Linked DNA regions of Elephas maximus indicus. The protein of the gene in region 2 purifies or fractionates together with the protein of the main gene of each other region. This does not show direct contact. Links are inferred from orthologs where the notes say so. Each region holds a gene or a part of one and is shown on either strand. Other genes may lie near its edges.

Region 1 (8,446 bases), on a different chromosome or scaffold from region 2:
AGTTGTTTTTACTTAAAAATGTGTTTGTCAGTCTCCCTAGGAGGATGGAAGTTCGTGAAAGCAGAGCCCTGTCTTCTTGTCCCCAGTTTCATTCCCAGCCCCTAGGATAGTGCCAGGATGGAGCCTAGTGGGCCAGGGAAGGAAATGAATAAGGGATTGTGCTGTGAGCAGCTTTCACCACTAGGGATTAACTAGGAATTTGGGTTAAAAAAAACTTGGGTTAAAAAGGTCTAATTCCTCTAGGAATAAAATTAAGTATCGATAATTGGTGCATAGGAATAGGGTGATGGACGCCTGGTAGCACAACAGTTGAGTGCTCTGCTACTAACTGAAAGGTCTGCAGTTTGAACCCACCAGCAGCTCTGTGGGAGAAAGACCTGGTGATCTGTTCAAGAGAGATTACAGCTTAGAAAACCCTATGGGGCAGTTCTACTCTGTCACATGGGGATTGCTATGAGTTGAAAATCGACTCAACAGCACCTAACAACAGAAATAGGATGAACCAGCTAGAATGTGCTCTCCAGGGCTAAGTTCCAAGAAGGGGTAGGAGAGCTAGAATCACAGAGTTCTTTTAGAGCTTTAAGTCCTTGCCAAAAACCCTGAGAAATGTATAACTGAATTTGTAATACAGACAACTCAACTGGGCATGGTTTATACCACATTTCCCTCATGCTCTAAGAAAAATTAGTTGAGTACTTGAGCTGCCTCTGAGTATGCCGCAGGAAGTCTGGGGCCAGAACGGTGATGTAGAAACCATCCAGATTTCTACCCTTGGGTCATGGCAAGGAAAATAGGACCCAAGATTATACCAGCAGTCAATGCCAAGAGCCCAGCATACAGCATTAGCTGTGTCAGCTGGGGCACAGGATATAGAAAAAGATTGCCCGTTTAACACTACTACATATTCACTGAATATTGATATACATATTGTGCAAGCATAATGTAGAGACTGGTCCTATTTGCTTTTTGAGGTCAGGTATCATCACTTTTCGTTTTTGTATTCTCAGCAAATAACAAAGTCCTGAATGTCGGTGGTCAATAAATGTTCACTGACTTATTGATCCAGTAGTAACTTTTCATGGTACTTTTAATTTTGTTTTTGTTGAGAATATACACAGCAGAATGTAACACCAATTCAACAGTTTCCACTTATACCGTTTAGTGACATTGTTTACATTCTTTGAGTTGTGCAACTATTCTCACCTCCTTTTCTGAGTTGTTCTCCCCCCCGCCCGTTAACATAAATTCACTGCCCCCTAAGGTTCCTATGTAATCTTTCAATCATTAGAGTTGCTGTTGTCACTTTCATTCCATGTAAAAACCCAAACCCTTTGCCACTGAGTGGATTCTGACTTGACTTAGAGAGACTCAAAGGACAGAGTAGAACTGCCCCACAGGGTTTCCAAGGAATGGCTGGTGGTTTCAAACTACAGACCTCTCAGTTAGCAGCTGAGCTCTTAAACACCGTGCCACTAAAGGGTTCCTTTCATCCCATATAGCTAATCCTTAAAAGTGCATAATGCTTAAGGCAGACCTTTTTACTAGTTAAGCTAAACTATTGTTTGGTTTTGAGAAGACTTCAGGGGATACTTCTGGTTTAAGTTTTAAAGGCTATCTCAGGGCATTTATGGCACCTTTCATGAGAATGACAAAAATCCTTAGCATGCCTAAATAAGACGTCCTGAGTACCTGTCAGTTATGCAGCCTGTACAATGGTAGGACAATCAAGTTTTTCTAAATCCATTAATGCTTCTGTCTTACTCCTCTGTTCATCACTGGATTCAAACAGGGCACTAGCAATGAGGCCCAGCAACTTGAAGCTGTTGGCTAGCTTCATAAAATGCACAGAAAGAAATTAAAGCTACAGACCACAGAGTTATGCCCAATATAGATACTATCTTTACTCTCCAATTCTCATTTTTAACTACTCTTACCTGGAGATAAGGAAGGTAGAGTTGGAAGGATGGTTCTCAAAGGCTGGTGCTCTGGGTAACAGCATCAGCTTCACGTTAGACATGCAAGTATCTGGCCTCACCCCAGACCTACTGAGTCAGGAGCTCTGGGGATAGGGTGCAAGAAGAGGTAGTTAATAAGACCTCTAAGTAGTTCTGAAGTCCACTGAAGTTTCAGAACTATGAGCCTAGAGCAGCTTTTACTACACTAATATAAACTTGTCACATTTAGAATTTTTACTTCTCAATTTTAAGTCTTTTGTGGCTAGATCTAGGCTATCAAGCAGTTTTCATAAATAGACACACAACACACAAGTGGAATTTTTTTAATAACTTACATACGTATATTTATTGATATATATATGTGGAAACCCTGGTGGCATAGTGGTTAAGTGCTACAGCTGCTAACCAAAGGATCCTAACCAAAGGATCGGCAGTTCGAATCCGCCAGGCGCTCCTTGGAAACTCTGTGGGGCAGTTCTACTCTGTCCTGTAGGGTCGCTATAAGTCGGAATCGACTCGACGGCACTGGGTTTGGTTTTTTTAGATTATATATGTAATATATTTATATGTCTTTTAAAATATTAAAAACTTAAAATCCATACATATTCCCATAACTTTAATACAATAACTAAAACCTACTGCCATCGAGTCGATTCCGACTCATAGCGACCCTATAAAACAATACTACTTCTCAATTTTAATTTTCAATCTTTACCTATATGCATACTCATTGACGTAACTGTAGAAATATACAAATTTTGGTTCACCTATAGCCTTATAAAATTATTTGGTAAATATGCTAAAGACAGCTTTTTTTTCCTGATTACAAGAGTAATAATAATAATTCCTGCCAATCCTGTTTTCTACTTAAATATCTGTTAAAAAAAACCCCAAACTCGTTGCCATTGAGTCGATTGCAACTCATAGCAACCTTTCATTTTTCATAAAATTGAGAATTTTTTAAGAAAATTTTACCAAATGTCATCTTCATAGAATTTTACATTTTATCACTATATTGTTAGCATTTCCTACATCACTGAATATTCATATAAAATTATTTTTTTGAAGGTGGAGCATCTATTTATTTTTTAATACAGAAAATACAGGCGTATTTAAAAAGGGAAACATGCAAAAAAGTCACAAAGAGTAACAAAGTATATCACAAAACAAGAAAGTAAACTGAAAATAACAAGTGTACTAAATAAAACAGAGCCCAGCACAATGTTGGGCTTTCTTCCTGTGAGTTCCAGGATGCCCAGGCACTACCAGGTAGAGATGATCCCGCTTTTGCAAGAGCCGGTTGGTTGTGCAATGGTTAAAACCCAGTCCTCCTTTTCCTGAACAGTCACACCCTGTCCAAGCTGAGAGGCAATGAGACCGGTTTGGTCTTATGCATAAAACTGCCTTTTAATGACTGCATAATATTCCATCATAAGCCTTAGCTAAGAGTGAGACATGCGGGTTATGCCCCTTTTTTAGTGTGATTATTGAAACTGTCCTTCTTGATTTTTCCCTGGAAGTAGAATTATGGGGACAAAATGATGAACATTTTAAAGCTTCTTGACTTTTCTGTGTCTCGTCCAGTCTTTACAGTTCTTTTAAATAGGTTAATATTTCATCTGATACTGTTTACTTAGCTGTTCCTCTATTCCTCTTTGGTTGAACCACACCAGTGGTTCTCAACAGGTACTATTTTGCCCCCTAGAGGACATTTGGGACTGTCTGGAGACAGTTTTAGTTGTCACAATTGGTGAGGAGTGCTACTGGTATCTAGTAGGTTGAGGCTAGGGATGCTGCTAAACATCCTACAATGAAGGCAGGACTAATTGCTAGAAAAAAAGCATCATGTTTGGTAAAGGAGAGGGTCAGCAACAACTAGAGAAACCCTCAGTGAGATGGATTGACCCACTAGCCACAGGAACAGTCAAACAGACATCACGGAGATGGTGCAGGCCCAGGCAATGTTTCATTCTGTCACATAAGGTCTCCATGAGGTGCAGCTGATTAAAGAGCAACCAACAACAATAGCTCTATTGACTGCAGTTTTCTTTTAACTAATGAGTGTACTTGAATGGTTGTGTAAAGTGGCTATTTTGAATAGCCAAAGCAGATATGGTAACCAGTTTCAAAAACTTCCATTTATCTGCTACTGAACGCTTATTTTACTTTTGGAAAATGTAAGCCTCTTTTTATCCCTTAGAAAATGGGCCACACCGTTGGTATTAGGCACTCAGATCAGTGAAGCTGTGGTACATCTGCAAAATGCAGCGAGACGTGGATGGGGGAATTGTTGAGTTTTATCCGAACTGCCAAATTTCATTCTACAAGTGGCTGACTTTTGTGAATGGGACTTGGATTTAATTGTACTAGCCCACAGGAGAAAACTAACACTTCTCACCATTCCAGAACAGCTTATTGTCACTAATTCATGTAGATGATTCCAATAGTTTTCAGGGAAAGAAGCACTGATCCCATTGATAGATTTATTTTCAGATCAACTTCCCTCCTAAATAAAAAAAAGCTGTTACATTTTCAGGGAGTGTATTTTTTAAGACTTACTTTTAAATTTCGAATTATCTTCAGTTCGTTCAAAAAGTTGCTTGCATAGGAAATTGAGAACAGATGGCGCAGGACCGGACAGTGTTTCGTTCTGTTGTACATAGGGTCGACGGCACCTAACAACAACACTATTCTCTTACTTGATGTGTTATATGGCAGTAAAAATAAATAACTTCACACCTTGAAGTTACTTAACACTTTTCAGTTTTCCGTAACAAGGCCACGCAGTCTCTGATTTGCGTGTCTCCGCTGTGCATTCATTTTGCTCTGCTTTTCCTTGGAGAGATAACAAACCCAGTATTTGTGTTAAGCCACCCCAGCTGTCTCACTTCACAGTTGCACCAATTTGTCCGCGTGCTTCTAGTGTGCTGTAGCGTGGGAGTGGGGGCCACTGCCTTGGCACACAAGCCCGCCAGAGCGGCGGGACTAGGGGAAGGGGCCCCATTACTCTGGACACCAATGGGAGAAGCGATGATGCTAATGTGGAGACCGGGAGAGAGAGACAAAAGCCAGCTGGGAGAGGTCGTAGGCACGGCACAGAGGCCGGGTTCCAGCGCCCAGGCAGCCGCGCTGCTTCACGCACGCACGGCCCCACCACCTCCGCCGGGCGGCCCTCCTGTTGCTCCCGCCCCCTCGGGGGCCTTCTTCCTGCCCGGCGCGGGCTGTCCGTGGCGGCGCCTGACCCGGCGGCAGGGTTACTAGGAGGATAGGCTGCACCTGGCGCTTTTCCCCTTAACTGCTGTCGAGGCCAGGAAGGAGGGAATACGTTAGACAGCCGCAGGGGTGGTTATGGCTGAGAGGAGAGGCTCCTGCAACGTCGGGGAGCTGAGCCTGACCGGCACTGCTGGAGGCGCCCTGACGGGGTCCTCTCTCTCAGCCGGGTTCCGAGCGGGAGGCCGGAGCTGGAAGCATTGGCGGCTTGTCCAGTTCCAGGGTGCTGAGACGCGGCGCGATGGAGGAGGTCGATGGAGAGCCGATAATCACTGTAAGGGCGCCCGGAACAGGCTTGCTTGCCCTCACGATCCGAGGGCTGCGTCTGCTCCGTCGCTGCAGGCTTGTCCACCGCCTTGCGGCTCGGGAGGCGCCCGTATCCCTTTCCTCGGCTCAGTTGCCGCCGTCGAGAGATCGCGGCTTGAACTAGGTGCCCGTGTTCGGGTCGCAGTGGTCGCTGGGTTTCTGCTTCTTTGTTCCCTCAGAAACCTGTCCCCGGAGGCCCCATTCCATCCCTCTTCCGCCCTTGTCTTCCCAACCTTCCTACTTTGCTCCGCTTTTCCTCCTGGGTGTTAGAGCGAGTCCGGACCCAGCGTGGGTGGGGCTTTTTTTTTCCAACCGAATTAAGCTGCTCCACATCTCAGCGCCCTGAGATTGGCGTCTGCTAGTCGTGCAGTAAGGGTCCTTGGTGGCGCAGTGGTTAAAGCTCTCGGCTGCAAGCCAAAAGGTCGGCACTTCGAACCCACCAGCCACTCCGCGGGAGGAAGATGTAGCAATCGGCTCTCGTAAAGATTTACAGCTTTGAAAACCCTATGGAGTGTTTCTCTGTCCTATAGGGTCGCTACGAGTCGGAATCCAATCGATGGCAGTGGGTTTTAGTCGCCAGGTTTATTAAACGTATTTATTCTCTTGGGATCACTCCTGTTTTCACTGCTCTGTTTGCGTTCAATTCAGTCTGCACTCTCAGGAGGATATGTCAAGTATAAACGATCTGTGATTTTATGAAGAGATACATGGGCTTTGGATACTAGATACCTTTAGATATTTCCTTCCGCTGCCCGGAATGTTTTTTTCTTCCCTCTTTGCTTTATCTGCCGCTCATTTTTCAAATCTAAGCTCCGTCAGCCTCTCAGAAAAGCTTTTCCTGACCCCCTGACGAGTCAGTTTGTCTTTATGCCCTAGGCTTTCAGAGTTCTGCACCTCTTGGGTCTTAGCAGCCTCTAATAAAACCAAAAACCAAACCCGTCGCCGTGGAGTTGATTCTCACTCATGGCGACCCTAGGTGTTACAGAGTAGAACTGAGCCCTATAGAGTTTTCTTGGACGTAATTTTACGGAAGCAGATTGCCAGGCCTTTCTTCCACAGAGCTGCGGGTGGGTTTGAACTGCCAACCTTTAGGCTAGTAGTGAAAGTGCTACCCAGGGACCTACCTTGTCAACGTCTATACACCACTAACTTTGTAAGTTACCTGACCGAGTGTTTTTTGCTTTTTAGAAGGTTAAAATGCGTACAGTTTTCACCTAAAACTACCTGATTGCAAAGCAGTCTATGATAAAACCAAATACTGAAAATGGGGATTATTTCAAAGCTAATGAGGTAGAAATGGGATATGAGATCTTAAATAGCAGCTGAAATGAGTTATTTTCTACGAAGTTTATTAGTTCTATAGAGTGTTAATTATTAAGTACATGTAAAGTACCCTAAATATTAAATATCCATCAAGTACTATGTCATTGTTTGTCAGTGGTGTATTCAGGAAGAAAACTTAGAATGTCAGAATCCCTGGGACTTCTTCAAACTTCACGTCATCTTGCTGTCCCCACCTCCATTACTCTGATATTGAGCCATGTGTTTACAAAGGGGATGAAGGTGCTCTAAGCTAATTTTCCCTCCGGTGGTGATAATTAGTCCCTGAGTGGTGAAAACAGTTTACAGGCAGGCTGCTAACCAAAAGGTTGAAGGTCTGCCCAGAGAGTCCTCAGAGGAAAGGCCTGGTGATCCACTTCCAAAAAATCAGCCACTAACGCCTTACAGGGCACAGTTCTCTGCACATAGGGTTGCCATGGATTGGAATCAACTTGGCAGCTATTGGCTTTGGTTTGGTGATGATTGGCCTGTGATAACCCAGCTCTGCACTGATGTGGAGACCAGGTAGGAAATTGGTTAGCTTTGTGGGCTGAGCCTCGTAGACAGTCACAATCCTTGGTAGAACTCCATAATCCAGAGTCTGAGCCTCAACTCTGCAAGTTTAGACTTTTGTCTGTGCTTCAGAGTTAATCTGCTCTTTGGGTTTATTCTAATCAGACTTTCGAGAGGCTGATGTATTATCCTGAACACCATTTTATGAATTCACCCCTTCTCAGAATTGTGTCTGCTGTTAAGACAACTGCTTTCTGTTATCAAGGTACTTGAAGGCATATTAGTAATTAGTAGGTTCAAGGATATTTAAGCATAAATTCAAGGTAGTAGAACAAACCAAACCCATTGCCATTGAGTCAATTCTGACTCATAGAGACCCATAGGGTTTCGAATTGTTGACCTTTTTTGGTTAGCAGCCTGAGGTCTTAACCACTGTGCTACCAGGGTCCCAGTAGTAGAATAATTGTGAGTGATTCATCTAGACCAAAGGTCTTCAATCCCTTTTTTTTTTTTTTGATCAAGCACTCCTTAAGAAATACAAGTTATAGTCACCTTCCCCAGGAAAATGCCTGTATGCATATATTTTGAGGTGTTTTGAGGACCCATTGAAGCCAAGACACTTGGAAAATTCCCTCACACCCTTTGCCTAAGTCAGTTTCTACCCTGACCACTTTCTGACTCTTGTCACCATAGATTAGTTTGCCTGTTCTTGAACTCCAACATGTACTTTTTTGTGTCTTCCGGCACGCTGTGGCCTTTTTAAGTGTGAGATGCCGCTTAGGCAGCCTATAGTGGTAGGGATTAGGAGTTGGATGGATGAAACTGAGGCCCTTGGGAATTGGCCTGAGTCAAAGAGGAAATGCAGAGCCAACATCGTAGAGGTGGCACAGAAGCCTTGGGATTGGATGTCTTTATTTTTTTCAGTGTGCAGCAAACAGGGTTCGATTCTTTTTTTAACTTCCCTTTTCTGAACTACAGATCACTGAATCCCAGTATAATAATTAATTCAAATATAGCTTTTTTTTTTTTTTTTGTCAGCAATTGAGAGATGGCAGGCTGGGTTGAGGAGCCAATCAAAGCTC
Region 2 (7,368 bases):
CAGCTTGCTGCCCTCAATAGATGAGGGAAGAGCAGGCAGCCTCAGTCAGTGGTTCCCGGGGCTGTGGAGTGCCCCGCCTTCACAGGTGTGCTGGGAAGACTCTAAGGAGTTTCTGCAACTCGGGCAGAGCCTTCCCAACTCTGGAGCAGCCCCAGCTGCTCCCACCAGCACCTCACCATACCCTCTTAGCCCACCACAACACAGAGCTGGTAAGAGGGAGGGCACCCTGCTTCTGAGACCAGACTAGCTACAGTGACTGCACTAGAGCAACAACTCTGGGCCTGTCTGAACCTGGGTATCCCAGTTATCGAATAATGTATTCTCTTCCCCAACTGTTTTAAAATACCACTTTGACCATGTACTGACACCTTATATTACTTGGGTCGATTTCTGGAATTTCTATTCTGTTCTCTCTCTGGGTGTCTCATCTGGCACCAGCCACATGGTTTTAATTAATGTAGCTTTATAATATTTTACTACCTGATGGGGCAAGTCTGCTTCACTCTTTTACAGAATTTTCTGGTCATTCCCTGATATCTGTTCTTCCAAGTAAACTTTTAAAATTTTGCCTAATCTTCCACTCCCTGCCCTCCTCTCACCCTAAATCCTGGGCCCTGCCATTCTCTGTGCAAATATCTTCCTTCCGTTGCAGTTACTGTCCACTCTGGGCCACTGGCAACACCGTGTCCTGTAAGGGGGAACCAAAAAGGCTTCCTGCCTCGAGGGGAAGCTGAATGTTCCCCCCATCATTTCGCCTGTCCCCTAAACCCAGGAGTTGTCAGGAAGACCACTGAGCCCCACCTAATCTCAGTTTGGGAAAGAGTCATCCCACTTTCGTTGTACTGGGAGGGACCCTCCATCGCCCCTGGCCCAGATGAGAAAGAGTAATCTGTCCTAGACCTGGAGCACCAGAGCTAGCTAGTAGAGACCTTTGCAAGGCAGAATGTGTGGCCCAGTTGTCTGTACTTCTCATCCTCATCGTGGAGAAACATTGATTCCCATCTCCCTTTCCTGAGCTGATTTCAGAGGTTGTGTGATGGGCCCTTTGGGATGCAGCATGTCTTGCCAGGACCATACCCTCTACCCCTACAGCCCCTCTCCTTCTTGCTCTACCTAGAGGAGGCTGCCACCTGGTGCACTCTCATGAGCCTCTTGCCCAAACCTCTCTCCTGCCATAGTGTCTGAAATCTCCTGTGCTGGGGGAGGGGGTTTCTTGAGGGCTTTGGGGTCTTCCAGAGCCAAGGCCTAAATCAGACAACAGCATGAAATTCCCCGGCCTTTCTGAGTTCCAAATCAAGCTCTCCTAATTTCAAGGTAGAGATCCTACCCACCCAAGCAGGGGTGAAGGGTGGGTGGGAGGGTGACCCTGGGCCCTGGGCTTCAGCCATCACCCTTTCCACCAAAAGCAAGGTAGCTGAGGGACCACCCTTCCCAGCCCCCTAAGTATGTTTTGTAATGCCTGTGGTGCTCTCCCTCCCAGAGCTGGAACTTTCAGGGGTAGCCACTTTGCTAACTCTTGTGTGCACATATTTTATAACAGAGTAGCGACAGAATGGTGCCACCTCCAGCTTCCACAAGCTTCCCCGGCTCTGGGGGGTCTGGGGCAATTGGGGCTGGGAAGTGACTGTGCTCTTATTGTACACTTTTTATTTCTCTGTATCTCTGGCTTGTGCTCTTTGTAATTAATGGGATTTGTCTGCCTTTTCAACACTATACTGAGCAATAACAATAAATGCACATGTGGAAATGCAGACACGGTACACATCACAAGGCCTTTTTCCAAAGGACAGCTGGGCAAACCACCCCCCCACCTCCGTGAATTTGAACTGAGGGCAGTTGAGTCCCTGGGAGGGAAATGCACTTGGCCCAAGGGCACAGTGCTCAGTGGGTGCCCTCTCTCCTCCCACCAGGTCCCCCCTTCTAGAGGGAGTGCTTTTACTCATAGCTGAAAATCCACCATTTGAGGGAGACAAGTGTAGCCTGCCATCACTCACTAATTCTCCATGTAGAGTGGTCCACAGTCCCAGAGAACAAGGCCTTGGGAGAAGGGGCCTCAGGAGGAGCAGAAGATCCAGGGGCAAACAGGCTTGTAGGAGGAAGAGAGGGGACACACATTGGAGACAGCTAAGACTGGCCTGACATGGGTTCTGGGATCAACCAGAGGAAGGGGGTGGGACATATGGACATGGGATGTAAAGTGGCATCTCCTGCTGAGGAGGAGGGAGGCAGAGGGGAGCCTGGTACCCAAGAGTCTGAACTTTGCAAATCCTCTGCCAAGCATCAGCAGAGAAAGAGAACGTGCCCAGACTAAAAAACAGTCCCTAATGTTGGGCCAAGGGCTGGGGTCTCAGACATGTGCAAGCACACACACACTCCTTAGATCCTAGCCTCTTCTCAGGGACAACTAAAGCCCAGATCAAGCACCATAGGCCCATTCAACTTCCAAACACTGTTTCACATCCAAGGGCCCATTTAATCCCAACATCCACCTCTGGAGTAGGTATTATTATAATTCGCACTTTGCGGAGGACCCAGCAGCCCAGAGAGGTGAAAGGTGTGCCCACCTAGGAAGCAGGAGATACAGTATTTATACCTAAGCAGTCTTGATTCTAGAACCTGTATTCTAAACCTCTATATTATGCCTTTCAAGGCCACCAGCAAATATTTCAATGAGTAAGATACAGCTCCATTGCTTGTCCCAAATCCCCAATTTCTTCAACTTCATTACCTACACCAGGGCATTTCTTTCATAACAACAATGCCCCCACGCATTAAACTCTATTATGTCTAATATGCCATTATCCCTGTTTCCCACTTGAGGAAAGAGAGGCTCAGAGAGTAAAGTTCCTTGACCTTATCACCCAGAGTATCAGTGGGTGCAGCTACAAACCCAAGGGCAGGGTCTGTCCTTTGAAGAACAGAAGGACCAAGAGGCCCCCCACCTTTTGCTTCCTGCCCCACCCTAAACACGCCCCTGACACAGAGACGCACACTAGAGGGAAATATAAGTCCTAAACTCCTGGGTGGGGATGGGTGGTGGTTTGCTACCTGGAGGTCTGGCCAAGCTCTGTAGCACCCCACTTTTCTGGGCCCCCTTCCATAGCTCCTTGCCAGTCTGGGTCAGTTACACTCTCTGAGCTTTAACATCTTCCCTCAAGCAGTGACTGTCTCCAGCTAGGGTTCTTTTCCTCACGTTCAAGGGAGGAAATTGAAGGATTGTGACTTATCCAAGGGGAGCATAGACTCCACTCTAGGTCCCCTGCCTCCTTCAAGTCCCGAGGTGGCTTAAGGCTGGGCCTCAGGCTCTGGCCAGAAGCGCAGCGTTTCTCCCTGTGCCTGTGGGGAGCCCTCAGCTTCCCTCCTTTGGGCAGCGGGGGAGCGGGCTGGAAAACTGGGGGCTGGGTCCCGGGCTCTAGCTGCAGGAGCCTGGCTTCTCCTTGCCTGGGGATCTACCTGGTGGGCCAGACTCCTGGGTCCCGGGACTGCTGTGGAGAAGGAGCAGTTTGGAGGCGCAGGACCTACGGCTTGGGGAGGGCGGGGCAAGAGGTTTCAGCTTTTTTTGCCCCTTGTCCCAGCCCTTGGTCCTGAGGATGGGCTAACCAAAAAGGGAGGCTAGCACCAATCTACTCACCCCCGCCCCCAAATTGTTCGACCTACAAAGTTCATCATAAGGTCGCACCCAGAACCGCAGGGAGGCTGGAAAAGCTGGAGTTAAGGATCCTTTCTTTCATTGATGCGTCTGAAGAAAAGGGAAGGGCTGCTCAGGAAGGTAGGCGAGACAGAGCTTCAGATTCCAAACGGTCCCGGGTCAGGAACGCCGTGGAAACCAGAGCCGTCCCGCCTTGGCTTCCCGAGGACGAGGCTAAGGGGCGGGGCAGCGGGAGGGCGGGACGCGGCCTCGGGAAGGCACGGAACCTTCGTGGGAGCCGGAGCGGGTTGCTGCTCGGAGGCTCCTGAGCCACGGCCCGACGGCCTGCCAGCCGGCGCCGGAAGTGGGGCGTTCGGAGGTGCCGCCGGGAGCTGCCACGTCCGAGGCCGGGAGCTGCCGCCGCACCAGCCATGGTGAGTGTCGGGGCCGGCGATGCCGAGTGGGGCTCGGGCCCCGGTCGCTGTCCTGACAGAGCTGGCCTTCGCTGGTCCCTCGGCCGCGCTGAGGCTCCCACCCGGGCAGGGGTGATTCCAGCCCCCGCCGCCGGTTCGGGGTGGGGGGATCTGGCGGAGGAGGAGGCCCGCGTGAGGCCGCCGGCGCCCCGGAGCTCTGCGGGCCGCGCGGCTGCCGCGTCTCCCCTTCTCTCCTCAACAATTAAAGACAACGACAGTGCAGCACGGCAGCTGCTGTTCCCCCAGCGCTCAGTCAGGTCCAGGCGTCGCTCGTGACGGCCGCGCGGCGAAGGACGGCCTGTTACTATCGACGTTGTGCGGACGAGGAAGTTCGCGGCTCTGAGAGCTGAAGCCTCGTGCACGGCTGCTGAATGGCAGAGCTGAGACTCGAACCCCCTTAGCCATTCCCTCTCCCAGCAAAGATGTCTGTCGACTTTCTGGGTGCTGGGTCCCCCGAAGGTACCCCAGCTGCGAGGGACACTGCAGGAAACTGACGTAGGGATGAACTGAAGGACTCCGAGGGCAGGGCTGAGTGTCCTATCTCCGTGCTGTCCACGGTGTGCACTCGCGCGACGCGTCCTCGTTGAGGGAAAGACTGGATGGACGAGAGCTGAGAGCTGAAAGCATCCAGCCTGAGCCCGAGTCTGGCCCCGAGTGGGGATTCAGTAAACGCAGGCTGTCAGGAAAGCGGCTGCGCTTCATCAGCAGGCATGGGGGAGCCAGCGTGGACCCAGAAGTCAGGACACTGGGTTTAGTTCTTGCTCAGAGGGGAAGGCTCAGCCTTGGTATTAAATCGCCGGCCTCTTTTGGCCTCAGATTCTTCAGCTGCTGGTCTCTTATGCTCTGACATTCAGCTCATTCTAAATGAATTTTTAACTCATTAACTGATTCTGAAGAGCTGAATTGTTTTGCGTGTTGCCTCTTAAAAAGGACCACATAACTCCAGGTGCTCGGGAGGAGGTACTCTCAGAGCTTTAAAAAACACAACAACACTGGTTCAGAAGCATTGTTAACCAGCCCTCGCTAGTGGATGAGAGCGGTTAGAAATAAACGCTGGTTATCTCTAAGGTCTTTTGATGATCTGGTATAGAACTACTTCCCAGTAAACTTTCTTCCTGAATCTGTTCAGCCTTCAGCTATTGGATTTAAGGGATGTTCTAAATAGGCAGCCTGATGGAGTGGGAAGCTTTGTGGGCTGGGAGATAGGAGATCGGCCTTGATTCTAAGCTCTGTGGCTGTAGCAAGTGCTTTTCTACTCTAGGCTTCCATTCCTTAATCTGTTAGACAGCCCTGATTAACTCTGTCTTTCGTACATCCCAGCACACACGTGAAAGCTCTTCGTAACCTAGACAACTCTGCACACACAGGAAACTCTTCTTATCGTCCTTACTTCTCTTCGCAGACCTTGTGCACCCACTTGTTAGGGAGTCTAGCATTTGATGAAAGAACCTGGGCTCTTTTGATGTGTACCTTTTGAGCTGCTTTGCAGCCGTCCTCTTCCAGTGTCCACCTTTCTGAAAAGTCAAGTCAAACTTTATCCCTGCAGGGCTTGTGCAGGAAAGATGAAATAGGGGAAACGGTTAGAAATATCAGTTCCAAATTGAAACTTCCTTTTCAGTGCCCTTTTCCATCCTAAAAAATTTAAAGAATAGTGGTCAGTTTTGTTCACTCATTTATTCATTCAGTGAATAGTCACTCAGTTCCTTCTGTTTGCAGACACTGTGCTGGATGATATGAGGGGGTTAAACATGGCAGATGACTCAGACCCTGACCCCAGGGTGCTCACCTTCTAGTGGGGAGAAGAAATAACATGGAGTGTTGTAGACATTCAGTGCTGAAGATATTCAGAAGAGTGCACCTAGTTAGAGGATCTGGGAATTGTCCAGAAGGGGGTATTATTTGAGCTGGACCTTGAAACATGGGTAGGAAGGCAAAGACCATGACAGCCATCTTCTAGCCCTACAAACTACTCAGTCCTAGACCCCATTAGGTGATAGCCTCAGGTCTGTCACAGGTGATGGACCAGGGAGCATCCTCAGAAGGAATTTGAATCAAGTCTGCAAGTCTTAGGTATGAACCCTGTTATACAGAAACTGCCCAGAACATCAGGGCTCTGTCACCCAATAAGGGAACCAATAAGCTCTCTCAAGGTCCTCCTCACCTCAGTGGTTGCCTGGACTGCTTGCTGTTCCCCTACACACATCAAGCTCTTTCACACCTCTTTGTCCTTGTTCATATTGTTCCCTCTGTCTGGACTGTCCTTTTTTTCCCCTGTGCCACTTGGCAAATTTCACTCATCATCTAAGCCCCGGTTCATGTCTTCTACCACCACCACCTCGGCATCTACTTATGCCACGTTAGGGTTATTTTATGTGAACTTCTCAAGGGCAAAGAGTACCTTTTATTCATGTCTATGTCTCCAGTCCCTGGCATAGTGCTTGGCAAAAAGAATGACTGTTAAATGAATGAACAAATGGCAGTCAAGAATTTTAGAAACGGTTGGTGGGTTTAATAAGAAGATTGCATTCTAACTGCCATCAGTTAATTTACCAAAAATATTTTGCTTCTAGGTGTCAGTAATTAACACCGTGGATACTTCCCACGAGGACATGATTGTAAGTATTCATTCAGCCCACCCACAGAGGTTGTGGACACGGGCACCTCTGGGGAAGGGACACAGTTTGTGTTTTTCATTACTCCTTTCTATTGATCATTCATGGGCCAAGGTGTGGCTTTGCAGCCTTCTGCCAGTTAGGCTGTAGCTGTAGAGGGTATAGTCAGCCCAGACATGTCCTCTGAGTTGGCAGTGCTATGGCAGTCTGGTCACCTTTAGTGGAAGGAACCTAGGAATGGTTTTAGCTCGTGGCTCTCAGCCCTCTAGCTGAGTGGGTGCGGAGGTTTGACAGTAGTCTTCCTACCTGCCTTCCTTCTGCTCCCACCTCTTAGCCCCATTGGAAAGGGGGCTGAAAGCGGGAACATGAAGGGAGAGTCAAGACGATGACTCACTACAGAGGCAGAGGGAAGCCGTGGCGAAAGCCCAAGGCAGAACCAGGCAGGACCACCACAGACAGCTGGCCAGGCGAGGCCCTGTGAGCCAGAGTCATGAACTGAGGGTGCTTCCTGAGAGGCAAACACAGGGCTCAGTGTGAGAGGTCAGGGCTGCACGAGTGGGTCCAAAGGTTAAAGTCCCAGCAGAAAAAATCATACACTGCTTCATGCAGGACCTGGCAGTCCACGCAGCCTTTGGACAACAGCATTCCCGCCCAG
Region 3 (7,365 bases), on a different chromosome or scaffold from region 2:
ATATATTCATTATGTGTATAATAAATATTAATTGCTATCATTAATGTTATCATTCAATGCTTTAAAAGCAAAAAATCTTACAAGGCTGTCGAAATGAGCTGGGAGTTCGAGGAATAACCTGGTTTTTTGGTGTAGTGTTAGCACAATTTTCGTCTTGCGATGCTCGAACTGTTAGGAAAGTTAAGAAAAGTTTCCAAGTAGAAAAGAGATCCTTTAAGTTAGAATTAACCGTATTTGCACTATACAAAACATGGGAATACATATTTAAAGAACCAGGTATTTTACAGCTACCTTTTTTTAAAGAGTAAATAATTCTGTCTGCCATTTAAATTCTTAGATGTCAGTAGTAGACCACTGTCGTTCACTATGAGTTCTTAGTTCAATTCCAAATTAAAAAAAAAAAATCTATAACGTCAGCAGAAGCTAACCATAATGACGATCAGCAGTAAGATGGTACAGTCTTATATTGAGGGAAATATAAATCTTAATCTCATTACCAAATAACAGTATCTGTGGAGTGAGCAAAGCTAATTTCTGAAGCATTTTATTATTACAGTTAGTGTTCAGTATCTCTCATAAAAAGAAGTCTATAACCCAGATTCCAAACACGTTGCAATTTTTTATAAATATGCGTAAAATGTAAAGGATACTTAAAACTCTTTTTTGAGCACTCTGTTTCCGTGCAGTCCGAGTCACCTCTGCCTCTCGGATCGCAGGGGATAACATCTCTCCAAAGCCACTCCTAAAATAGTGAATAAAGTGAAATGTGAATAAAGTGAAAATGTAGCATTCAGAAAGAACTTTAACATCATGATAAAGGACCTTGAGTCAGTCAAGGTATAGGTAATTCCAGTAGCCAAGACTTTGATCTTTTTGTTTAGAACGCCCTCTTCACGCCAAATTCTGATTAAGCCTCAATCACACTCAAATCTTACCAGCACAAAGGCTTCTTTGACTTTTACTACATTAAAGTTTTCTCCTAGGGAATTACTTCAACTCTTGAAATCTGTATTAAAATAACACTGTTTTAGATAACTGCTTAATGAATGTAAATCTTTCCCCTACTGGATTGAGATGTTCTCTAACTGCAGGGACCATATCTTAAAGGATCTTCCGTAGTCTCCAAAGTACCTTAAAGCATGGGTACTAAGGAAAAATGTGTTGCTTGAGCTGGTGAAATAAGTAAAAAAGAATGCTAGCGAACTGGAGAGAAATGACCCTTCAAGTCATTTCTCGATATGGTGCAATAAGGCATCTCCTCTCGCAGTATCTCCTCTCTCACTACCTGTAATCTCTAACGCTCCAGATCACCCCTACCACTCTCACCTGAAGGTCTAGAAGCTAAACAGTACAGATTATGAGGCCTCTTTTAAAACACATATCGAATATGCTTTTTTTCCACTTAAAACCCTGATAGCTCTCTTTATGGCTTATAGAATCCAGTCCAAATTCCTTAGCCCGGTATTTACAACCTGACTCCAGCTTACCAATCCAGTCTGAGCACCAAACATTACTCCATACAAACATACACTGCATGTGACCATTCAGGTACACAGAGCAAGCACCTTCATACTCTCACATCTTTGTACATGCTGTCCCTTTTACAGAGGTCTACTTTTGCCCTCTTGTCCACCTGGTGAACACTTACCTGCCTACAAGCAGCCTGAGGTTAAGAACTCCAGCAATGGAGACACACAGATTCAGGTTTAAAATTTGGTTCTTCTATTTACCCTGGTGGCACAGTGGTTATGAGCTATCCTACTAACCAGAAGGTCAGCAGTTTGAATCCACCAGCCACTCCTTGGAAACCCTGTGGGGCAGTTCTACTCTGTCCTATAGGGTCGTCGAGTTCGAAGAGACTCAACGGCAATGGGTAATTTTGACCAGAACAAATCTGTCTTAGAAAAAGCACAGCCAGAAAGTTCCTTAGAAGCGAAGATGGTGAGACTTTGTCTCACATACTCTGGATATGTCATCAGGAGGGATCAGTCCCTGGAGAAGGACATCATGCTTGGTAAAGTAGAGGGTCTGTGAAAAAGAGGAAGACTCTCAATAAGATGGACTGACAGTGGCTTCAACAATGGGCTCAAACATAGCAAAGATGGTGAGGATGGCGCAGGACCAGGCAGTGTTGCATTCTGTTGTACACAGGATCGCTATGAGCTGGCATCTAATCTATGGCACCTAACAACAACTATTATTCAAAGACTAATTTGAAAGCTACCTCTTTTGAGAGGCCTTCCTGCTACCTCCCTTGACAGGGAGACTATGCTTCCCTCATTTACGTCAACGAGCGTGCATTACAAAACATTTATCACTTTATACTGTGTAGTTAAAACCCATTGCCAGCGAGTTGATTTCCAATCATAGCAATCCTGGAGGGCAGGGCAGAAGTGCCCCATGAGGTTTCCAAAGCTGCAATATTTAGAGAACCAGACTGCCCCATCTTTCTCCTGCACAGCAGCTGGTGGGTTTGAACCACTGCCCTTTTGGTTAGCAGCAGAGAGCCTGACCACTGCTTAGTAGTCTCCCTCGATACACAAAGAATCCCCCGAGGCAAAGGACCTTGATTAACTCATCTTTGTCGCCAGCGGCCAGCACAGTGCTGGCTCATAGAAGGAACTCAATAACCATCTGCTGGGATTTGGAATCAAATTCTGGGCTGAGATTCCAATTTGTCACTGACTGGCTTTGCGATCTCCGGCAGGTCACTTAGCATCTCGAATCTGCAGCCGCTACTTACCTTGCCCACCCCAAGAGCAGAAAATGATGTGGCGCCAAAACGCCGAATAGGTCGCAGGGCCCCGGTAGGAAAGCAGAGGATTATTATTACCCGTACTCTCCATCCCCCAACCCACACCCAGAGGCCTTTCCTCCGTCAGCTGCAAGTCTCCCAGTCCGGGAAGAGTCCTGGGGGAAGCAACCGGGACCTCTTGGGCTTCCTGAGTCGGGTTTCACCTATTTCGTTCTGCCAATAGACAGAAGGGGCAAATCTCTGGGCTCGGTTGTCACCATGTGAACTGACCTGTCCATGGCTACAGCCCTCTCCTCCAAAAAACTTGCAACCTTGGTTCTAGTTTAGCCACCGCGTTTCAGCCTTCCCGCTCTCCGGAAGCAAATCCTCGGACCCGGAAGCATACCCACGCTGACCCATCCCCAGAGGAAATAAGTGGGAGGAGAAAGGCAAAAACTCCATCTAGCGCATGCGCGACTTGTTCCGTCTACCGCCGCAGACCCAGCTGGCGCAGGCGCAAAGGCATGACAGTTTTGGACTCGAGCGGGACCTGACCAGGCCGGGGAGGGGCGGGGCCTCACCAGGCTTGGCCGTTACTTGTAGCCGCCACTTCGCCTGACTGATGTTTGTGGGAGTAGTCCAAGGGCTGGGTTATCATGTTGGGAAGCATGTCGACGTACACTGCTTGTATAAGAAAATATGAAGCCATTTTCTGGTATTCTCGGTCAGAATGAGCCAGGACTTGGAATTCAGACGTTGGAGATCTTCCTACCCCGCAGGGGTCCCTGTCTCTCTCAACTCCACTCACCTTGTTTGAATTGTGGTGTAACCCCCTACAGTTTCTTAGTTGTTTTCCATAATTACTATTTGTCTTTTACTTGGTGTTTTTTCCTTGTTATGAAGAGAAGCAGCATGAAAGTGTTAGTATTGCTCTCTATTTGCCTTCCAGCCAAAAAGTATATTCTGGTCTCGAACGGATCTATTGAAGTTTCACCTTAGACATTGAGGAACAGATTTAATTCTGAAATCCAGATTTCTGGGGTCCATGGAGTTGAGGTGACACACCCAAGCCATTGCTTTGAGATCTTCTTTTGAACCTGGAGCCTTGAAAAAATAGGTTTCTAAAAGTCACCTTTGAGTCAAACAATGGTTTAGGTAAACCATTAAAGTAAGACCAATTTGCCTTGGGCATTGTGTTGTTTTGAAGAATTCAGTTTCAGGAAACAGACGTCAAAGGTCAGACTAGAGTTATATTTTAGGATACATTAGTAATTATTTTAATTGTTCATCAAGACAATGCTGTATGAAATTTCCTGACCACAAATTGTTTATCAGCTCTGTACCTTTTTCCATGGCAATGTTGATAAGATGGGGTAGAAGAGTCTTTGGAAGTTTTCTCATTTCTCAGCTTTGAAACTCCCTAGTTGAAAATCGTGTATTAAGTAAACTCAATCAATTTCCATTATTGGCTTAATAATGACTCTTGTTTTAACAGTATTTACATTCTAATTCTGGGAAGCCATCATTCCCAGGAAGGCCTTTCCATGTTTTGAATACCGTGGCGTTTTGAATAAAGGTGGCTTTGATGTCCCCTCAGAAACCCTGTGGGGCACTTCTACTCTGTCCTATAGGGTCGCTATGATTCCTACTGACTGAATGGCAGTGGATTGGTTAGTTGGTAATATAGGCTTGAACCCTCTGGAGTATTCCTCATCAGTAGATGGAGATAACACCTTTATTACAGAGTTGTTGTGAGGATTAAAAAGGAAGATGGCAAATTTACACTGCACAGGGTAGATCACTGAAATGTTAATTTCCCCCTATTGGGTTGAAATATTGAAGGCTTCTATGGGCAAAAACATTGAACAATGCAGGAAACATCAAAAGAAGATGGAAGGAATACACACAGTGATTGTACCAAAAACAATTGTTTGACGTCCAGTCATTTCCAGAGGTAGCATATGATCAAGAACCAATGGTACTGAAGTTCAAGCTGCACTGAAAGTATTGGCAAAAAAAAAAAACTCGTCTTCAGGAACTGACAGAGTACTAATTGAGATGTTTTAACAAATGAATGTAATGCTGGAAGCACTCACTTATCTATGCCAGGAAATATGGAAGACGGCTCCTTGGCCAGTCAACTGTAATAGATCCATATTTGTGCCCATTCCAAAGAAAGGCAATCCAATACAATGTGGAAATTATTGAATAATATCATTAATATTACGTGCAAGCAGAATTTTGCTGAAGAGCATTCAAAAGCGGCTGCAGCAGTACATCGACAGGGAACTGCCAGAAATTCAAGTCAGATTCAGAAGAGGATGTGACACAAGGGATATCATTGCTGATGTTAGATGGATCTTGGCTGAAAGCAGAGACTACCAGAAAGATGTTTACCTGGGTTTTATTGACTATGCAAAGACATTCGACTGTGTGGGTCATAACAAATTATGGATAACATTGCGAAGAATGGGAATTCCAGAATAAATTGTGTTCATGAGGAACCTATACATAGACTAAGTGACATTCCTTCAAACAGAACAAGGGGATACTGTGTGGCTTAAAATCAGGAAGGTTGTGTGTCAGGGTTGTATCCTTTCACCAGACCTATTCAGTCTGTATGCTGAGCAAATAATCTGAGAAGCCGGACTAGAAGAAGACGGCATCAGGACTGAAGGAAGACTTATTAACAACCTGTGATATGCAATTGACACAACCTTCCTTGCTGAAAGGGAAGAGGACTTGAAGCACTTACTGAAGAAGATCAAAGACTACAGCCTTCAGCTGGATTACACCTCAACATAAAACAAAAATACAACTGGATCAATAAGCAACATCATGATAAATGGAGAAAAAGATTGAAGTTGTCAAGGATTTCATTTTATTTGGATCCACCATCAACACCCATGTAAGTTGTTATCATTAGGTGCCATCGAGTTGGTTCCGACTCAAAGCAACCCTGTGTACAACAGAACAAAACACTGCCTGGTGCTGTGCCATCTTCACAATTGTTATGCTTGAGCCCATTGTTGCAAATATTGTGTCAATCCATCTCATTGAAGATCTTCCTCTTTTTCGCTGACCCTCTACTTTACCAAGCATGATGTCCTTCTCCAGGAACTAATCCCTCTTGGATAATATGTCCAAGGTATGTGAGACATAGTCTCGCCATCCTTGCTTTTTAGGAGCATTCTGGCTGTACTTCTTCCAAAACAGATTTGTTTGCTCTTTTGGCAGTCCATGTTATATTCAACATTCTTTGCCAATACCATAACTCAAAGGCATCAATTCTTCTTTGGTCTTCCTTAATCATTGTCCTCATGCATATGAGGTGACTGAAAATATCGTGGCTTGGGTCAGGTGCACCTTAGTCTTTAAGGAGACATCTTTGCTTTTTAACACTTTAAAGCAGTCTTTTGCACTGGATTTGCCCAATGCAATGTGCTGTTTGATTTCCTGACTGCTGCTTCCATGGGTGTTGATTGTGGAGCCAAGTAAAATGAAATCCTTGACAATTTCAGCCTTTTCTCCTTTTATCATAATGTTGCTTATTGGTCCAGTTGTGAGGATTTTTGTTTTGTTTATGTTGAGATGTAATCCATACTGAAGGCTGTAGTCTTATATCTTTCATCAGGAGGTGCTTCAAGTCCTGTTCCCTTTCAGCAAGCAGGGTCGTGTCATCTGCATATCATGGGTTGTTAATGAATCTTCTTCCAATCCTGATGCCCCGTTCTTTTTGATATAGTCCAGCTTCTCAGATTATTTGCCCAGTATACAGACTGTATAAGTATGGTGAAAGGATACAATCCTGATGCACACCTTTCCTGACTTTAAACCACGCAGTATCCTCTTGTTCTGTTTGAACTAATGCCTCTTGATCTACGTACAGGTTCCTCATGAACACAATTAAGTGTTCTGGAATTCCCATTCTTTGCAATGTTATCCATAATATGTTATGATCCACACCATTGGATGCCTTTGCATAGTCCATAATACACAAGTAAACATCTTCCTGGTATTCTCTGCATTGCAATGGGCAAATTTGTTGCAAAAGACCTCTTTAAAGTGTTGAAAAGCAGAGATGGCACTTTGAGGGCTATGGTATGCCTGACCCAAGCCATAGTATTTTCAATCGCCTTGTATGCTTGTGAAAGCTGGACAATGAATAAGGAAGACTGAAGAAGAATTGATGGATTTGAATTATGGTGTTGGTTGGTGAAGAATATTGAACATCCCATGGAGTACCAGAAGAATGAACAAATCTGTCTTGGAAAAAGTACAGCCAGAATGCTCCTTTAGAAGGGAGGATGGTGAAACTTCATCTCACTTTAGACACATTAGAAGGGACCAGTCCCTGGAGAAGGACATTATGCTTGGTAGAGGGTCAACGAAAAAGAGGAAGGCCCTCAACGAGATGGATTGACACAGTGGCTGCAACAGTGGGCTCAAACAGCAAAGATTGTGAGGATAGTGCAAGACCAGGCAGTGTTTTGTTCTGCTGTACTTATAGGGTCATTATGAGTCGGATTCAAGTTGATGGCTCCTAACAACAACAGCAATCAGTAATCTACTTGATGAGTCACACCCTGGTGCACTCTCATTCTCTCTGCCTCCTAATTTTCCTGTGCAAT
Region 4 (8,295 bases), on a different chromosome or scaffold from region 2:
ATTAGAGAAATGCATATCAAAACCACAATGAGATACCTTTTTACCCACTAACTATAATTTTTAAAAAATGGAAAATAAAAAGTGTTGGCAAGGAAAAATTGGAACCCTCATATGTTGCTAGTGAGAATGTAAGATGGTGCAGCCACTTTGGAAAATAACCTGGCAGTTCTTAAAAAAAAAAAATTAAGCATAGAGTTATATGACCCAGCAATTCCATTCCCAGGTATATACCCGAGAAATAAAAACATATGTCCATAAAAAAACTTGTACACAAATGTTCATAGCAGCATTACTCACAATAGACAAAAAGTGGAAACAGCCCATCTGATGAATGGATAAACAAAATATGACATACCCAGCTATATTCGGCTATAAAAAAGAATGAAATACTGATACATGCTACAAGTGTGAACCTTGAGAACATCCTAAGTGAGAGAAGCCAGACACAAAAGGCCACATACCCCTGAAACTATACGCCAGAATTTCCAAGGGCCTGATGGGATGGGTTGTATCTTCCCCCCATGTGGCTAAAACTGGGGTTGATGCTGAATATTGCTGTACTGCCTAGTGTGCAAGATAAAAAAAAAAAAAACCCACTAATATTGTTCCTATGTAACCCTACCCAATCTGAATGGGAGTGAACTAAGGGGGAAGCACTTGCTAGACTGGTCTTGCTACCAGCAATCTGGACTGGCATAGCAGCTGGGCCTGATGCCCCTTTCCAAGGTGAAAAAGTCTGAGTAAAGATAAAGGTCAAATGAAGGGAAAGAGAAGTAATAGCTGAAGGTAATGTAACGAATAAATGAGTTATGCAGTAGGGGAAATATAACATTATGCTGATACCTCAAGAGAGACTGAGAGCAAGGGAATAATCTCTCAGATAAATTTTATCAGAAGCCAGAAAGGGTGAAGGTAGAGATGACTTTTGGAGAACCTGACCAGATCATATGGACACCTGCAGCAAACCTGAATGGCTGGTACCTGAGAAACCTCATGCTGAGGACTGTTTGCCCTACCGAAAGACTAATTGCTAATACCTGTTTTGGACTTGTAAAATGATTGGGAGGGGAAACATAATCCTTCAAGTATGAAAGGGCCAATGACTAGAAGAGTTAGGAGGTGGCCTGCAGTACAATGAATTGCTCAATATGGCCCTTCTAGCCATAGTTTCTGTGATTCACACACAATGATTGAGTGCAACTACGCAATTAAGGTGTATAGAACCTGTGCTGGTTGGGGTTGTGTGTCAATTTGACTAGGTCATAATTCTCAGTATTATATGGTTGTCCTCCATTCTGTGATCTGATGTAATTATCCTCCCTTTTACGATGCGTTGTGAATCCTAGCCTGTATGCCTGTGGTTGTGTTAATGAGGCAGGGTTAGGGATATAGCTTGAGAGTCCGCCAGGCACTTCTTGGAAACTCTATGGGGGCAGTTCTACTCTGTCCTCTAGGGTCACTAGGAGTTGGAATCAACTCAATGGCAGTGGGTTTGGTTTTTTGGGTTTAACCACCTTACTAGAGGGTGTGACTCAAGACACCACCCTTACTCCAGTTACTACCCTTACTAAAGGGCATGACTCAAGTCACTGCCTTCTCAAGTAGGGGAGTTTCCTTGAAGGTGTGGTCTGCATCAAATATATATGAATGCTCTGGGGAAGTTCTCTCACTCTAGATCCTGCATTTCGGTCATGATCATCTAAAGTCTGATTCTTGGAGCTTGAGCCAGCAGCCTGATCTCTGACCTGCCGATTTTGGGATTTGCCAGCTTTCACAGCCCCTTCAGCCAGCAGCCTATTGTCTGACCTGATTTGCCAACTTCCACAGATTTGTGAGCCAGCACCCTGTTGTTTGACCTGCCAGTTTGGGTTTGTCAGCCCCTGCAGCCACGTGGGTCTGGAGAAGCCTCCAGCCTGATGCCTGACCCATGGATTTGGGACTTGCCAGCCTCTATAACCATGTGAGCTATTTCCTTAAGATATGGTTCCTGAGTTCTGTGAGATGTTGCAGCGAATTACTGAACCCAAGGATGGAAGGAACAGTACTAAGAGGAAAAGGAGCAGTTCATGTTAAAGATGACGGAGTAGGACAGTAGTTTGGAAAAAAGTTGGACATGTGTGGCATCTTTAACCTCCACCTCACAGGAACCAGCTTTGTGCTGATCCTCGTAAAAGAAATTATTCATTCAACATTATTTACAAAACTTAACCTTCCTTATCAAGGTACAGGTGAGGAGGAAGAGAATCAGTATGAATCAAACATGTGCCCAGTCTCTGGCAAATTCCTTTATCTTTTTTGACCTTCAAGTAGCAATTATTGTATCCATTTAACAAAGAAATTAGGGCACAGAACAATTAAATAATTTGTGCACACTCTAAAAAGTAGCAGATCTAGAACTTGAACCTAGCTCTGTTTTACTCCAAGTTTGTTGCGCTTAGACTTTCCTCAGTTGTCCTTCTTAATCAGTGTAGGGTGTTGATCTGTGGATATCTCTGGGCTCCTGATGCTCAGAACAGGGCTTGGCTCAGCAAGCTTTTGAAAACATGTATCAAAATGCTTATCTTTAGAGTGGAAGAAGGAAGATGAAAATTGAAAAGGATGCTATGAGAGTTAGGCAGAGTAGGAATATGTGGGCCCAGGAAGCCCTGGATCCACAAAAAAATCCTCTCCCAGCCTAAGGTCCCTGGGAATGGGCTATATGTCTATCACAGTATCAAACAATACTACTTAGAAATCACCATGGTCTCAGGAAATTCCTCCTTGAAGCACTCCTTGTCCAATATGTCCACCTCCACTCTCCCCACAAGTGTGTGCTATTTAAGGATCCCAGCTCCTGCATACCTGATGTGTATTTCTGAGCCTCTTCTCTGCATCAGACCCCATGTCTTAAGAGTATGTAGAGTTAAGAATGGAAGCTCCTTGACATTAAGGAATACAAACAATACCTAACACTTATTCAGGGCTTATTAGGTACCAGGCACCATGCTAAATGCTTTATATGTAATATCTCATTTAATTCTCACAACAACCTTGTGAGGCAAATACAGTTGTTATCCCCGTCTTACAGACAAGGAAACTGAAGTTTAGAGAGGTTAGGAAATGTGTCTAAGTTCACACAGTTAAACCCAGATTTAAGCCCAGGGTTCTCTGACTCTAAAGCCCAACATTTTTACTATGATTTCCTCACTGTAGAAAATAATTCACTCATTCATGCATCAAACATCTAATGTGTATCTACTCTGTGCCTGATCCTACCAAAACCAAACCCGTTGCTATCGAGTTGATACCGCATAACGACCCTATAGGACAGAGTAGAACTGCCCCATAGGGTTTCCAAGGATTGCCTGGTGGATTTAAACTGCTGACCTTTCGGTTAGCAGCCATAGCTCTCAACTACTACGCCGCCAGGGTTTCCTTGCCTAATCCTAGGAATTCCAAATTAAATTAGTAGAGAAAAGTCTTGAACAGAGTTGTGCTTGAGGAATGAAGGAGGAGAAATCAAAGGTTCAGGGGGGCAGTGAGGAAGCTACAGTAACTATTCCTGGAGAGTTTATGACTTTCTGATGTACAGCAAAGGTGTTGGTGGGGGGTGGAGAGCCGAGAGAGTAGGAACAGGTGGGGGGCCTGGTGCGGGGGGGATGGAGACAAAAGGAGGGATGTTTGGATGGAGTTCAAGGAAGGTGGCTCGAGTTAGCTGCTTAAACCAGCTTTACTATTTGGCAATCAATGTATATTTTTTATCTTCCTTTAAGCACATCCATCATCTTATTTCATCTATACAACCACGACACTTTCTGACAAATTAATCAAATATCCCTTTCTACTATTAAAAACTCAGGATTTAAGTTCACCTATGCTTTGGGCAGAGCCCATTTCAGTTTTGCATTGATGGAGGTGGTGGTGGAGGGTAGTCCGAAGACGTTTTCTGAGCATGAGCACAGCCCCTGCTTTTCTGTATGAGATCCTCAGCCACTAGATCAATCCAGTTTCTAGAACATTGCTCACCTCTCCTCCTTGTCATCAAGTTTTTTTCTGTTCTGGGCACAGAGGACAGGCAAGTAAATAATAGGATACAGTGACTGAGGCCTGTTAGGAACATTAGTCCAACTCTGCTTGGTGAGGTTGGCAAATGTATCCCAGCGAAGGCGGGAACATTTGAACGCGGCTCTTAAGAATAAGTTAGGGTTGTCTGAGAAGACGCCTGGCGGTACAGTGGTTATGCCTTAACCGAAAGGTCCGCGGTTCCAACCACGAGGGAGCCGCTCTGCAGGAGAAAGATGTGGCAGTCTGTGTCTTGGAAATCTTAAGGGGGAAGTTCTACTCTGTCCTATAGGGTTGCTATGAGTCAGAATCGACTCGATGGCAATGGGTTTGGCTTTTTTTTTAACTGTAGCTGTTATCAGGAACGAAGTCCCTGGAATCCTCACTTGTACCAAGCTCTATGCTGGGCTATTTCCTTAGGGCATCTCAAATGTTCATAAAGTCTATTCCAGCGTATATAATTCCCCCTTCTCTTTTACGAGAGGTTACTGAGGTTCAGAGAGGGTGTACTACTGCTGGCATGGGTCAAGAGATGTGGGGGCCGCGATTTGGGGTTTCAGAGCCGTCGCAGGCAAGTTCTTCCGACAGACGGACCTCCCGGGAAAGACCTAGCTCCGCACGTGGTATGGCCAAGAAGTGTGAGCAAGGCGACAGGGCAGCCTTCCCATCACCGCCCGCGGACCTGGGGGGCGGGGGGGCGACGGAAGGGTAGAATAGTTACCAAGCCATCCTGGAGCCTTCCTTCTGATTGGCCCGAGCTTCCGCAGCCGGAGTCTTTGGGCCCCAAAGAAGGGGAGGAGCGTCGGTATGGCGTCACCACTCCTCTCCCACACCCCGCCCGGTCCACCCCAATCTAGCCAGTCACCAGCCCACTTCTAGGGGCCCTATGTGACGCCACGACTCTCTCCCAGCCAACCGCGGCAGTGTGGGGGCGGGACTCCATGATCCCTTCCACCGCTCCTCCCCTTTCCTCTCTCTAACTCTTTATGCCCCTCCTCTTCCCACTTGTCCCTTCTCCCGAAGACCGCCCTCACGTTCTGTTTCAAAAGACTAGTTGCCCAATGAATAACAGGGCGGGCCTAGAGTGGCGGCCTCGTCTGCCAATGTTCAGACAGCGAGGGCGGAGCGCTCAGAGCGAGCCTCTGACGGCAGGCGGCGTGTGACGCAGTCGGGCCCTCTGCGCTTTGCGCCCGGAGCGGCGGTCGGTAGCGGTGGTAGTGGCGGCGACGGTTTCGTGGCGGCCGCGCGCTGCTCAGAGAGCGGCGGGTGGCGAACGGGCCTGGGCTCTCACTCCTGACACTTCCCCTCGCCCACCGCATCGCGGTAAGTCGGGAGCCGGAGCAGCGGCGGCCGGGGGCCGGCAGGCTCCTCCCCTCAGGGCGGGCGGCTGCGCGGGGCGTCCCAGGCCCTGTCAGCGCCGAAGTCTCGCGCCCGTCGCGCACCTTCTACCCTGAGGGAGGGGGCGGGGCCCACGATCCTGCGGCCCCCAGGCTTAGCTTTTTGGGCCCTGGGAGGGAATCGATGTGGTGGGGTCTGGACCGGGGGTGGGGGTGGGGAGGGGGTGGTCTCCAGTTGCAGCCCATGGGGATAGAGCATCCATTTAGCTGGTTGTACTGGTTTTTTTTACTCATTCATACGCTTGGCGGTGATAGGCGCCGGCGCTGGGCCGGCCTCGCCTTAAGACCCTGAGTATGATCTTCCCAGACTTTCTTGACGTTGGTGCAGAAATGGGTTTCATTTGCCATGTCTTTTGCACGAGACAAAGGTGGTAGGTGGGTGTGTTGGGAGTTTGCTAGCTTTCTAAGATAATATCTGAGAATTAGGATCGGTTCAGTGGAGTACAGGGTTATTTTCTGTTCTCCCACGTGTTCCGTGTAAAGCCAGATGAGAAACAACATTGGGTTCCTGGATAGTTATATAGAAATTATTTGAGCTAGTCACTCCCCTGCATCACATGCAAGCTGTACAGATGGAGAAACCGAGGCCTAGAGAAAGGACGGGATTAGCCAGACGTCCAGACTCAGTCTAGAAATTTTTTACTACACCCTCCTGGGAGGTCAGTCTTTGATTATTGAGGATTCCGGGGATGGGGAGGGGAGATATTCGATAGTTAGGAGTAGATGTAGTCTTAAAGAGCGTTTTGAATTTGAGTGTTGCTATCTCTTCAAAATAAGAGAGAAGCTTCATTAGTGGTACCCTTACCTAGACCAAGGGAACTAACCTTAAAAGTTGATTAAAGAACGTTTGTGGTGTTATGTATTGGAAACGAATTGATAAAACTACAAGTCGTTGGCTAGTTTCCCGTTTTAGATCTGAATTTTTGACCCGTGTTAGCGACTGTGGATTCTGAGGAGTCCAGTTAGTGACCCACAACAGCATTGGGAAGTATAGACAAGACGTATAAAGCTAGGCAGCGGTCACTTTGTAATTCTTGTACCTTGGAACTCCATGGTTCCTGTTTGGTGCAAAGTTCAAAATAAAGTATTCTGATAGAATAAAATGAGGGAATTAAACTCCGATTTGGAAGAAGCAGCTAACTGCAAGAAAAGAACAAGGATTATTCTCTTGGCAGTTTCATAAATTCAGAAAGAAATATTTGTTAACTGGGTGACAGATGGTATGTTTACTTGGAGAGAGAAGTTAGGATATCAAAGCCAGACATTGGACAGGATGGAGGTAATGGACATAAATACTTTGATAAAATTATTATTTTTTACTGTTTATTTAAGATTTAGAAATGGAATTACTAGTTTTGCCCCTTTGGTCTATTCTAGTCAGTCAGATTGTTACTTCTTGTTTATATGACAAAGCAAAAACTGAAAAATTTCGTAGTGTATGAGAGCAGACAAGAGCTGTAGTCTAAATACTAAGATGTGGACAGTGTGTGTTTTCTGTGACATTTTCTCAGTTCAAGCATTGCTTTCTTCTGGGAAGACTTTCCTGGCATTCTATCCCCCTCAAGCTTCCATAACACTTATTTGATACTTCTGTTTATAGCACATACAGTTTTGCATTTTAGCTGTTTAATTTTTTTTATTATACAGTGGTAAAATGTTGTTATCTTTGTATTCAGGTTGCTTGGCATGTAGTAGCCAAGCATGTGTTTGCTTGAATGAATAAACAAATACAGAGGAGTTACCTAAAAATAATCATAAGAGAGTCTGAGTATTTACATGCTTCTGAAATGTGAGGCCCAGATAAGAGAATTGATATAGCTTATATAATGTGTAATTTTTATTTTGGTACCTGAATTTATTCATGTCCGTTAGCTCCTAGATTTAAAAAAAAGAAAAAAAACCTAGTCCAGTGCCATCGAGTCGATTCCAACTCATAGCGACCCTATAGGACAGAGTAGAACTGCCCCACAGTTTCCAAGGAGCACCTGGTGGATTTGAACTGCCAACCCTTTGGTTAGCAGCCATAGCACTTAACCACTACACCACCAGGGTTTCCTGGATAGCTAAGAGCAAGTAGAATTTCTAGGGAACCAAACTTGCTGGCAGATTAGAAAAAATCGGTCGTATTATTTTATTGTATTATATTATCAGTTATATTATTTATTTGCTGACAGTTAACCTAGAAGTAAGGGATAGTAGCTCTGATGTTTATTTCCAATAAAGAGCATATCTGTAATTATGCAGTTTGTTGAAAGATTAGGGGATTTAGAAATTTAGAGATTTAAAAATAGGTATTAGAGGCACGGATTGTGTTAGAAGTGGGATTAGAGCCCATGCCTCCATTCAGAGACCGGAATGCCTGCAGGCAAGGTGTGCACCTTGAGTCTGGTGCCTTACACTACTCAGCCATTCTGACAAGTACAGCCAGAATGATCCTTAGAAGCAAGGATGATGAGACTTTGTCTCTTGTACTTTGGACATGTTATCAGGAGGGACCAGTTCCTGGAGAAGGACATCACTCTTGGTAAAGTAGAAACAAACAAACAAAAAAAACCCTGCTGCTGTTGAGTCAATTCTGACTCATAGCAACCCTATAAGACAGGGTAGAACTGTCTCATAGAGTTTCTAAGGAGTGCCTGATAGATTCTAACTGCCGACCTTTTGGTTAGGAGCTGTAGCTCTTAACCACTACTCCACCAGGGTTTCTGGTAAAGTTGAAGGTCAGTGAAAAAGAGGAAGATCCTCCATGAGATGGATTGGCACAGTGGACTCAAACATAACAATTGTGAGAATGGTACATGACCAGGCTGTGTTTCGTTCTGTTGTATGTAGGGTCGCTATGAGTTGAAACCAACTT

The links. Proteins that work in one complex are often made in the same cells at the same time.
Region 1: the proteins of SEC13 (region 2) and NUP85 purify together in Homo sapiens (affinity purification with mass spectrometry; 5 studies listed by BioGRID and IntAct, counting the BioPlex papers as one, with this or other methods). This does not show direct contact. The link is inferred for Elephas maximus indicus from reciprocal best matches to the Homo sapiens genes SEC13 and NUP85.
Region 3: the proteins of SEC13 (region 2) and NUP107 purify together in Homo sapiens (affinity purification with mass spectrometry; 8 studies listed by BioGRID and IntAct, counting the BioPlex papers as one, with this or other methods). This does not show direct contact. The link is inferred for Elephas maximus indicus from reciprocal best matches to the Homo sapiens genes SEC13 and NUP107.
Region 4: the proteins of SEC13 (region 2) and NUP98 purify together in Homo sapiens (affinity purification with mass spectrometry; 4 studies listed by BioGRID and IntAct, counting the BioPlex papers as one, with this or other methods). This does not show direct contact. The link is inferred for Elephas maximus indicus from reciprocal best matches to the Homo sapiens genes SEC13 and NUP98.

What each region holds. Positions count from the first base shown.
Region 1 is NC_064837.1:65,550,821-65,559,266, forward strand, and holds the start of NUP85 (nuclear pore complex protein Nup85), read left to right. Parts: upstream 1-5,328; 5' UTR 5,329-5,466; coding exon 5,467-5,499; intron 5,500-5,508; exon of another isoform or gene 5,509-7,376; intron 7,377-8,446. UniProt on the Homo sapiens protein: Essential component of the nuclear pore complex (NPC) that seems to be required for NPC assembly and maintenance. As part of the NPC Nup107-160 subcomplex plays a role in RNA export and in tethering NUP96/Nup98 and NUP153 to the nucleus.
Region 2 is NC_064838.1:35,209,852-35,217,219, reverse strand, and holds the start of SEC13 (protein SEC13 homolog), read left to right. Parts: upstream 1-3,957; 5' UTR 3,958-4,059; coding exon 4,060-4,062; intron 4,063-6,671; coding exon 6,672-6,716; intron 6,717-7,368. UniProt on the Homo sapiens protein: Functions as a component of the nuclear pore complex (NPC) and the COPII coat. At the endoplasmic reticulum, SEC13 is involved in the biogenesis of COPII-coated vesicles.
Region 3 is NC_064822.1:129,494,852-129,502,216, reverse strand, and holds the start of NUP107 (nuclear pore complex protein Nup107), read right to left. Parts: upstream 3,119-7,365; 5' UTR 3,034-3,118; coding exon 3,026-3,033; intron 743-3,025; coding exon 651-742; intron 169-650; coding exon 82-168; intron 1-81. UniProt on the Homo sapiens protein: Plays a role in the nuclear pore complex (NPC) assembly and/or maintenance. Required for the assembly of peripheral proteins into the NPC. May anchor NUP62 to the NPC. Involved in nephrogenesis.
Region 4 is NC_064825.1:53,106,311-53,114,605, reverse strand, and holds the start of NUP98 (nuclear pore complex protein Nup98-Nup96), read left to right. Parts: upstream 1-5,177; 5' UTR 5,178-5,364; intron 5,365-8,295. Other genes in the region: PGAP2 (post-GPI attachment to proteins factor 2), read right to left, coding at 4,763-4,770. UniProt on the Homo sapiens protein: Plays a role in the nuclear pore complex (NPC) assembly and/or maintenance. NUP98 and NUP96 are involved in the bidirectional transport across the NPC. May anchor NUP153 and TPR to the NPC.